Callithrix jacchus: one gene and its partner. The protein of the gene in region 1 purifies or fractionates together with the protein of each later gene. This does not show direct contact. Links are inferred from orthologs where the notes say so. Each region holds a gene or a part of one and is shown in the gene's direction. Other genes may lie near its edges.

Region 1 (4,298 bases):
CCAACAAATCACATCCATATTTCTTTTCTTTGTTTTTCTTTTTGAGATGGAGTCTTGCTCTGTCGCCCAGGCTGGAGTGCAGTGGTGCGATCTCGGCTCACTGCAACCTCCGCCTCCCGGGATCAAGCGATTCTTCTGCCTCAGCCTCCCGAGTAGCTGATATTATGCACCTGGCTAATTTTTGTATTTTTAGTAGAGATGGGGTTTCATCTTTGTTGGTCAGGCTGGTCTCGAACTCCTGACCTTGTAATCTGCCCACCAGGGCCTCCCAAAATGCTGGGATTACAGGCATGAGGCACCGCGCTCGGCCTTTTTTTCCTGTTTCTTTTTTTCAGACGGAGTCTTGCTCTTGTCGCCCAGGCTGGAGTGCAATGGTGCAATCTCAGCTCACTGCAACCTCTGCCTCCCGCATTCGAGTGATTCTCGTGTCTCACCCTCCTGAGTAGCTGGGATTACAGGCACGCACCAGCATGCCCGGGGTAATTTTTGTATTTTTAGTAGAGACGGGGTTTCACCATGTTAAGGCTGATCTCGAACTCCTGATGTGCTGGCCTATGCCTCCAAAGTGGTGGGATTACAGGCGTGAGCCACCGCGCCCGTCTAAGTCCACGTTTCTATTCTCCGTGCTTTAACCTAAAGAAGAAACTCAGTGTTTACTTGAGTAACTTGATAATCAAGCTTCCTCCGCTGGGACACTTCATATTTTAGGGACCTTCAGGCTACTAGGTCCTGGTCCGAGGTGCGGGGTTCAGTCCCTCCTTTTCTTTCTTTCTTTTTTTTTTGTCTTCTGTTTTTCCCTTATAGTTAAAAAAGCACTTCACAGTTAGAGGGCAGCATTTTAGAATTGGAGCGTGAAGTCAGAGCGTTTGTCTCTTAGTGACCTGCCAACTTTTAGGTTCACTTCGAACTCGGTGGGACAACAACATTCCCAGATTCGACGGCTAACTCAAAAGGAGACGGTGACCGACGAGTCGAAAGGAAATCGGAGAGTCTTGGTAAAAGCTGGATGGTTCACCCGTTAATACCAGCCGAGAGACAAAAACAAATTTCAACCAAACAAAACAAAAGTTAAAAGCGCCACGCTTTCTATTCTTTGCTGTCTGGCAATCTGTTAATGGTGGTGTCTAGCAAACTGCAAATCAAGCGCCCGCCGAAATCCGCTGGGTAGTGGGCACCGGGTGCGGCCCAGTCCCTGCGCCTAGCGCGGTGGCGCACACAATTGGTTTCTGCAGGCTCAGATTTTTCTGGCCCCGCCTCCTTCGGGCCCAGCTGATCTCCACCGCCCATTAGGCCCGAAACCCAGGCGCCAGGAGCCCTGCGCCCTCTGCTCCCTGCCCTGGCACGCCCTGGGCGCGGCGAGCGACCGCGTCAGCGCGCGGACTTGAATCCCGACCCGCAGCCTCCGGGCCCCGCGGGCGCTTGGGAGCGGGAGGCGGGGCGGCCCGGCGGTGGGCGGAGCGGCGGTCGCGGCCGTGAGCCCGCCCCCCACTCACCCTCCGCCGGCTGGCCGGCAAGGCCATGGAAGTCTACATCCCGTCCTTTCGCTACGAGGAGAGTGACCTGGAGCGGGGATACACGGTAGGCGCGAGCCGCGGCCGGACAGGGCCCCGCGAGGCGGGCCTGCGGCTGCTGCGCCCAAGAAACACCCGCGGCCGCCGCCGCCGCCTTGGCGCAGGGGGTCCCCTCGCTCCTCTCTCCCCTCCCCCGGCCCAGAGGAAGGACTCCGCCTTGGCGCGGTTGTCAAGGAAACGGGCGCCCCTCCCTGGCGCGGCGGCTGCGGACGCCCGCAGCCCCTCGGGGTCCAACCCTTCTCCTCCCGGCTGAGCTCCCGGCCTCGGGGCAGGAACGCGGGGAGTCCAGTCCTCGGACGCAGCGCTCGCCATTCTCCTGGCCACCTGCCTTCGGGCGTCCAGCATGGGCTGCGTTTCTTTCTGGCACAGCTGCCCTCAGTCCAGACAGTAGTAGCTTCGCGGCAGGTTCACACTGGCTTCCAGGTTCTGTACAGTTCGTTCAACTGGAAAACCTGTTTTTTTTTTTTTAATCATTTGTAGCTGTTTATTAACCAAACTGAACACACGTATTGATTTGAGATGGTTTCCAAAGATTTTTCTTTTTGAGTTGTGCAGTTCCATGAAATGGCAAAATCACTTGCTGGTCACCTGTTTCATACCCAGGACGTAGTCACCGACTGTGGTCACCGAGATATGTGAACCAGGACCGGTGGTCTCAAGAGGGAAGGGGAGAGTAGAGACTAAGGCATGGGTCCTTTGAGTAACAAGTTTACTAAGTGAATTGTTGGTGGAGATTTCCCAGTGAATTCAAAGCATTCTTTCCTGGACAGTCATTGCTAGTGGCAGAAATGTCTGAGAGGGCCTGCACCTTGGAGGAATTTATTTTCAGTTGTTAAAGAGCCGGGAGGGTTGGAGGAAGATTGCAGGACAGTCTGAAGGGATTGTTATTTTATTTACACCAGTCACTCGCTCGCTAAACACCCGTTAGGTTAGTTTGACGGAGAGTGTTTTTACTTCCCTCCTCTAAACATTACTGATATTTGGTGACAGTCTGTTTGGGCCCTTGTGTTTTCATAGTTGGGACTAAATTACCCTCTCAAAGGAAGATTTAGAATGAAAAACAGTGATTGAAAAACTAGTCCAGGAAGTGGGTGGGTTTTTAGAATCGTGTAGACTGCTGGGTCAAGTGTTCTGAAGCAAGTTGTTAAAAGTGCTTTCTTTGGGAAGGAAACTGCACGGAGAGGGAGCTGTGCTCCACAGTGGCAGTTGTTTATATAAATTATCCTTTCCAATGCATTCACATTTCGTTAGTCTGTATCTTCCTTAAAAAAAAAAAAAAAACTCGAGTTTGTTCAAGGCTGTTTTTTTTTCTTGGAGATTTTAAACAAGTCTCTTGAGCCTAAAACCTTGCTTGTTGTTTGGTCTCCCAGGTACCTCGCTTCTCCCATCAGCACTGTCAGTGGTCATAGAGGGCTTACCATCTATGGGACATTCTTTTAGGATCTGAAGATCAAAAGGCACCTTGTTAGGGGCGTTGGCTTTCAAAGAAAAGATGAAGTTGATCTCACTGGTTCAAGCTAAAAGTTAATTACCTGCAGAAATAAGCACTTTGAAATAGACCATAATTAAGACTCGTTGTCCATTATTGATTTTCGTCTATTAGACAGCTGTGTTTTTCTCCCAAAGCTTTATGTATCTTTTTATTATTTGTATTTATGACCAGGCATGTGCCACACTCCAGGTTGTGAATTAAACTGATTTGAAGGAGCTCTTTTTTCGGACAAATTCGGTAGAGTTTGAAGATTACTTACGTGATGAGATTTCACTCTTTAAATATTTGCTTAAAAAAATCCTAACTCATCCAGATTGGGAGCTAAACTGTTAAAATCTCTGTTATCTTTTTTGAGACAGTCTTTTGCACCTAGGCAAGTGTGCAGTGGGGTGATCTCAGCTCACCTCAATCTTTGCCTCCTTGGCTCAAGTAATCCTTCCACCTCTGCCTCCGGAGTAGCTGGGACTCCAGGCACACACCACCACTCCTGGCTAATTTTTAAATTTTTTATAGAGACAGGGTTTCTCCATGTTGCCCAGGCTAGTCTAGAACTCCTGTGCTCAAGCAATCTACCAGCCTATATCTCCCAAAGTGCTGGGATTACAGGCGTGAACTACCACGTCCAGCTCTAAAATACCTTCTGAAGTGATTTTTTTTTTGGCCTCTGTGAATTTGTGAACCAGATGTTAGGTGCTTTTCCCCTCTGAAAAACTGGCTTTATAATTGTACAGTAGTTTTTTCATTCAACAAATATTTACTGAGTGCCTGCTCTGTGTCTGTATTAGGGGTATAAGGAATATAGCAGTGAACAAGCTATGAATATTAGCAGCTAAAAAAAAAAAAAAACCCGGAATTTAAAAAATATCTTTGTTTCCTAAATAAGAAGCTGGTAAAATAATGTACACTTTAGTGCAAAAAATAGCGTTTTACTTTAGCGATTATGTTTGTATGTGTGTGTTTTTATTTTTATATTTTTGAGATGGAGTCACCCTGTGTCACCCATGCTGGAATGCAATGGAACTGTCTTGGCTCACTGCAACCTCCGCCTCCTGGGTTCAAGCAGTTTTCCTGCCTCCCAGGTAGCTGGCATTACAGGTGCCCACCACACTCGGCTAATATATGTGTGTTTTTAAGAAATAGAGTCTTGCTCTGTCACACAGGCTGGAGTGTAATGGTACAATCCTAGCCTTGGATTCCTGGGCTCAAGTGATCCTCCCCCTTGGTCTCCTGAGTAG
Region 2 (3,500 bases), about 38 Mb from region 1:
GTCTACATATTCCTCAGAGATATTTTTAAAATACCATGAAGCTGAATGTCCTTTTGTGTTTATTTTCCCCATGTTTTGTTTTCACTATGAATCTGCAGAACTTAATCATCATTTTTGTTTTGCTTAATAAATGTATTTTGCTCATTTTAATATTTGTGTATTGAGCTGGTTTTCATATCAAGAGAAACTTTTAAAGTATGAACTTTATTTCTTAGTGTTTTACAACACTAATTTTCCTATAATTATTTGATTGCTTAGGAAGGGAGTTTAATCTTATTACTTGGAGAGTTTTCATCATCTAGTAACATTTACTAATAATTTAGTCTTCATTCTTTTATAGTGAACTAAGTAAAAATAAGTATCTCGTCGACATGGTGACTGAAGCTCAAATGTCAGTGTCTTATTGTTCAGAGTATAATTGAGAATAGGTTATAATGCTTGGCTGAAATAGATGTTACTCATGCTCCTAAGAGAGGTACTTGGTCAGATCTTTATAACCTAAATCAGTAACTTGCTTTATTTATTTATTTATTTATTGACATGAAATCTGCAGGTTAGGTGATTGTGTTTCCCTGCACATCACAAATTATAAACTGGCAAAAGGGACCCAATAGCCTAATGGAGAGAAGAACTACAAAATGCAGGAATAACTAGAGAACAATAGACTAGGTCTATATAGTTTAAGGGAACATAGACCTGCCCAGCTTAATAATAATTGTAGATTAACTATTATTAAAATATAGCATAATAGGTGATTTTATGACCAAGGCCAAAATCTTAAGGAAAGATTATTTCTCTTCATATGATAGGTAAAATGAATATGTTTTGGAGGGTTTTTTTTCCCTCTCATAAAAATAGTTATTTACTTATAAAAGGCTTAAATTCTAGAGTGTAAAGTTGAATTATATAGAACAATTAGCTACATTATAAATGAATACCCTTTATTCAGGTTTCTCTGCTGCAAAAAAGAAAAAAAAACCAAATGAATAACTTATTCCTCGAGTACCATATAGACAAGATAACACTAAACGTTATTTTGTTTTAAACACTAGTTTTGTTTTTAGTTAGCTCACTTAAACTACTAATTGTAAGCCACCCTGATTTAAATGTTAAGTGCTTTTTGGGGGGATTTTTATATCAGCTTGTTAAATTTTCCAGAAGTTTAGCCTAACACGTGTATTGTGTCAGTGCTAAGTAGTATTTTTTATTAATAAAAAGGCTTTGTTTCGCTGCCAGTATTAGACTTTTAGGGTAGATAACAAGCATTCTGTTGGCCTTTGTAGGAGGGAGGAGTTGAGATAGCATATATCTGTTTTTTTTGTTTTATTTTGTTTTGAGATGGAGTTTTTGCTCTGTCTCCCAGGCTGGAGTGCAATGGTGCAGTCTTGGCTTACTGTAACCTCTGCTTCCTGGGTTCAAGCAATTCTCCTACCTCAGCCTCCTGAGTAATTAGGACTACAGGTGCCTGCCACCACCCCTGGCTATTTCTGTAATTTTAGTAGAGATGGGATTTTGCCATGTTGGCCAGGATGGTCTTGAACTCCTGACCTCAAGTGATCCTCCCGCCTCAGCCTTCCAAAGTGCTGGGATTATAGGCATGAGCTATCGCTCTTGGCCCTTATATCTAGATTTTGAAACCTGATGTTTGTTTACCGATAGTAACAGACTATCAGGTGTCATTATGACAAGTAGCACACTTGTCACTTCTGCTGTCAGTCTTGTATACATTTCTCTACTTACTTTATAAAGACAGGCTCCTGTGTATGTAATGAAATGGGCCTGTGAGATTTGCAAACGACGAGAATAAACTACTAGACTTTTTAAAAATTTGATTTAATGATGAAGACTAGTAAAAGCTTATGGGAGGTGTTAAGTCTGTTCATTATCTGTTCTAGTAATACTTGGGATACTTTATTTTGATATATTTGAATGCATAGTATAGATTCCATTTAATGAATAAGAAGCAGTTTAATTGAACAAGGTTGGAAACCTAATGTTTCTGTATTTCTCTTTTAAAGTTATTCCTTATTGATTTTGGTTTGGCCAAAAAGTACAGAGACAACAGGACAAGGCAACACATACCATACAGAGAAGATAAAAACCTCACTGGCACTGCCCGATATGCTAGCATCAATGCACATCTTGGTATTGAGCAAAGGTAAGTTAGAAAATGGAATGTGCTTATCATAGCCATAGCAGAAGCCGTCAAGGGGTTCTTGAAATATTTTAATTAGTTCCTTACAATGTCTAAGAATGTTTCTTGGCTGAGGATTTGAAGGATGCTTATTAATCATTTTACCTGCTGCTTTAGCCAGCGTTGAGAAGCCAGTTAAATGAGGTATTTTAGTTTTTTGTTGTTGTTGTTGCAGGTTGTTTCTTGAGGGGAAAATACTGCTTGATTGAAAGTTAGAAGCCTAAGTGCAATGTTGAAATTTCTTTTTGCAGCTGAAAATATGTTATTAGTGTCCTAACAAACCAAAAGGGGGTTAATGTTAATCTCCTGTTATACTTCACTCAAATATGTCAATTAATAGGATCTAGTTTAAAGTAAGAAAATTTCAGTCTCTGCTCTCTTTCTGTTTCTTCATATGAGTTCTAGAGTTTCAAGTTCATCTTTTCTACTCACTTTTCATTCATTAAAACAAACATAGAAGTAATTGGAAAAAACAATGGTATGCGTCCAGGTTTAAGAACCTCATACAAATGATTTCAAGCTTAAGATACCCATGAATATCTGAATATCCTAGGTTAAACTGTAATGTCATTTGTCCTATATGCCAAAGAATTACCTATCCTTAAACCTATCTATCTGTATATTTGTATGTATAGATATGTATGTGTGAATACATTGATATAGATGTTCAGATATTCCATTAGTTTTAAGTTGTAAACTCCTTTTCAGCACTTTTTTTTTTTTTTTTTTGAGATGGAGTTTTGCTCTTGTTGCCCAGGGTTGAGGGGTATGGCGAGACCTTGGCTCACCACAGCCTCCACCTCCCAGGTTCAAGCGATTCTCCTGCCTCAGTCTCCCGAGTAGCTGGGATTACAGACATTTGCTACCATGCCCGGCTAGTTTCATATTTTTTTTTAGTAGAGATGGGGTTTCTCCATGTTGGTCAGGCTGGTTTTGAATTTCTGACCTCTGGTGATCTACCCGCCTCAGCCTCCCAAAGTGCTGGGATTACAGGCGTGAGCCACTGAGCCCAGCCTCCTAAGTTATCTTGATGAGTTTCTGCAAAATTTAGAAATGTTGCCCTGCTTGATTCATTAAGCTCATTTCTCTAGAGAATTGTTTAGCTAAATCCTTTTTGTTCTTTTAAAATTAAATTGTTATCTTTAAGGTTTTTTTTGTGTGTGTGAAGAGTGAAAAAAAGAAATAAATAAAATTAAATTGTAAGACAGTTGTTTGTCTGATTTTGGATTCCATGAGAAAAGTTTTGTTTAGAGGTAACACATGAACTTTTAAAAATCACCTTAAATAGTAGCTTCTTGCATAAGAC

Evidence for each region. The genes of interacting proteins can lie anywhere in the genome.
Region 2: the proteins of SNX24 (region 1) and CSNK1A1 purify together in Homo sapiens (affinity purification with mass spectrometry; 4 studies listed by BioGRID and IntAct, counting the BioPlex papers as one, with this or other methods). This does not show direct contact. The link is inferred for Callithrix jacchus from reciprocal best matches to the Homo sapiens genes SNX24 and CSNK1A1.

The regions. Positions count from the first base shown.
Region 1 is NC_133503.1:86,505,844-86,510,141, reverse strand, and holds the start of SNX24 (sorting nexin-24), read left to right. Parts: upstream 1-1,498; 5' UTR 1,499-1,518; coding exon 1,519-1,578; exon of another isoform or gene 1,579-1,686; intron 1,687-1,767; exon of another isoform or gene 1,768-1,994; intron 1,995-4,298. UniProt on the Homo sapiens protein: May be involved in several stages of intracellular trafficking.
Region 2 is NC_133503.1:48,201,020-48,204,519, reverse strand, and holds part of CSNK1A1 (casein kinase I), read left to right. Parts: intron 1-2,018; coding exon 2,019-2,158; intron 2,159-3,500.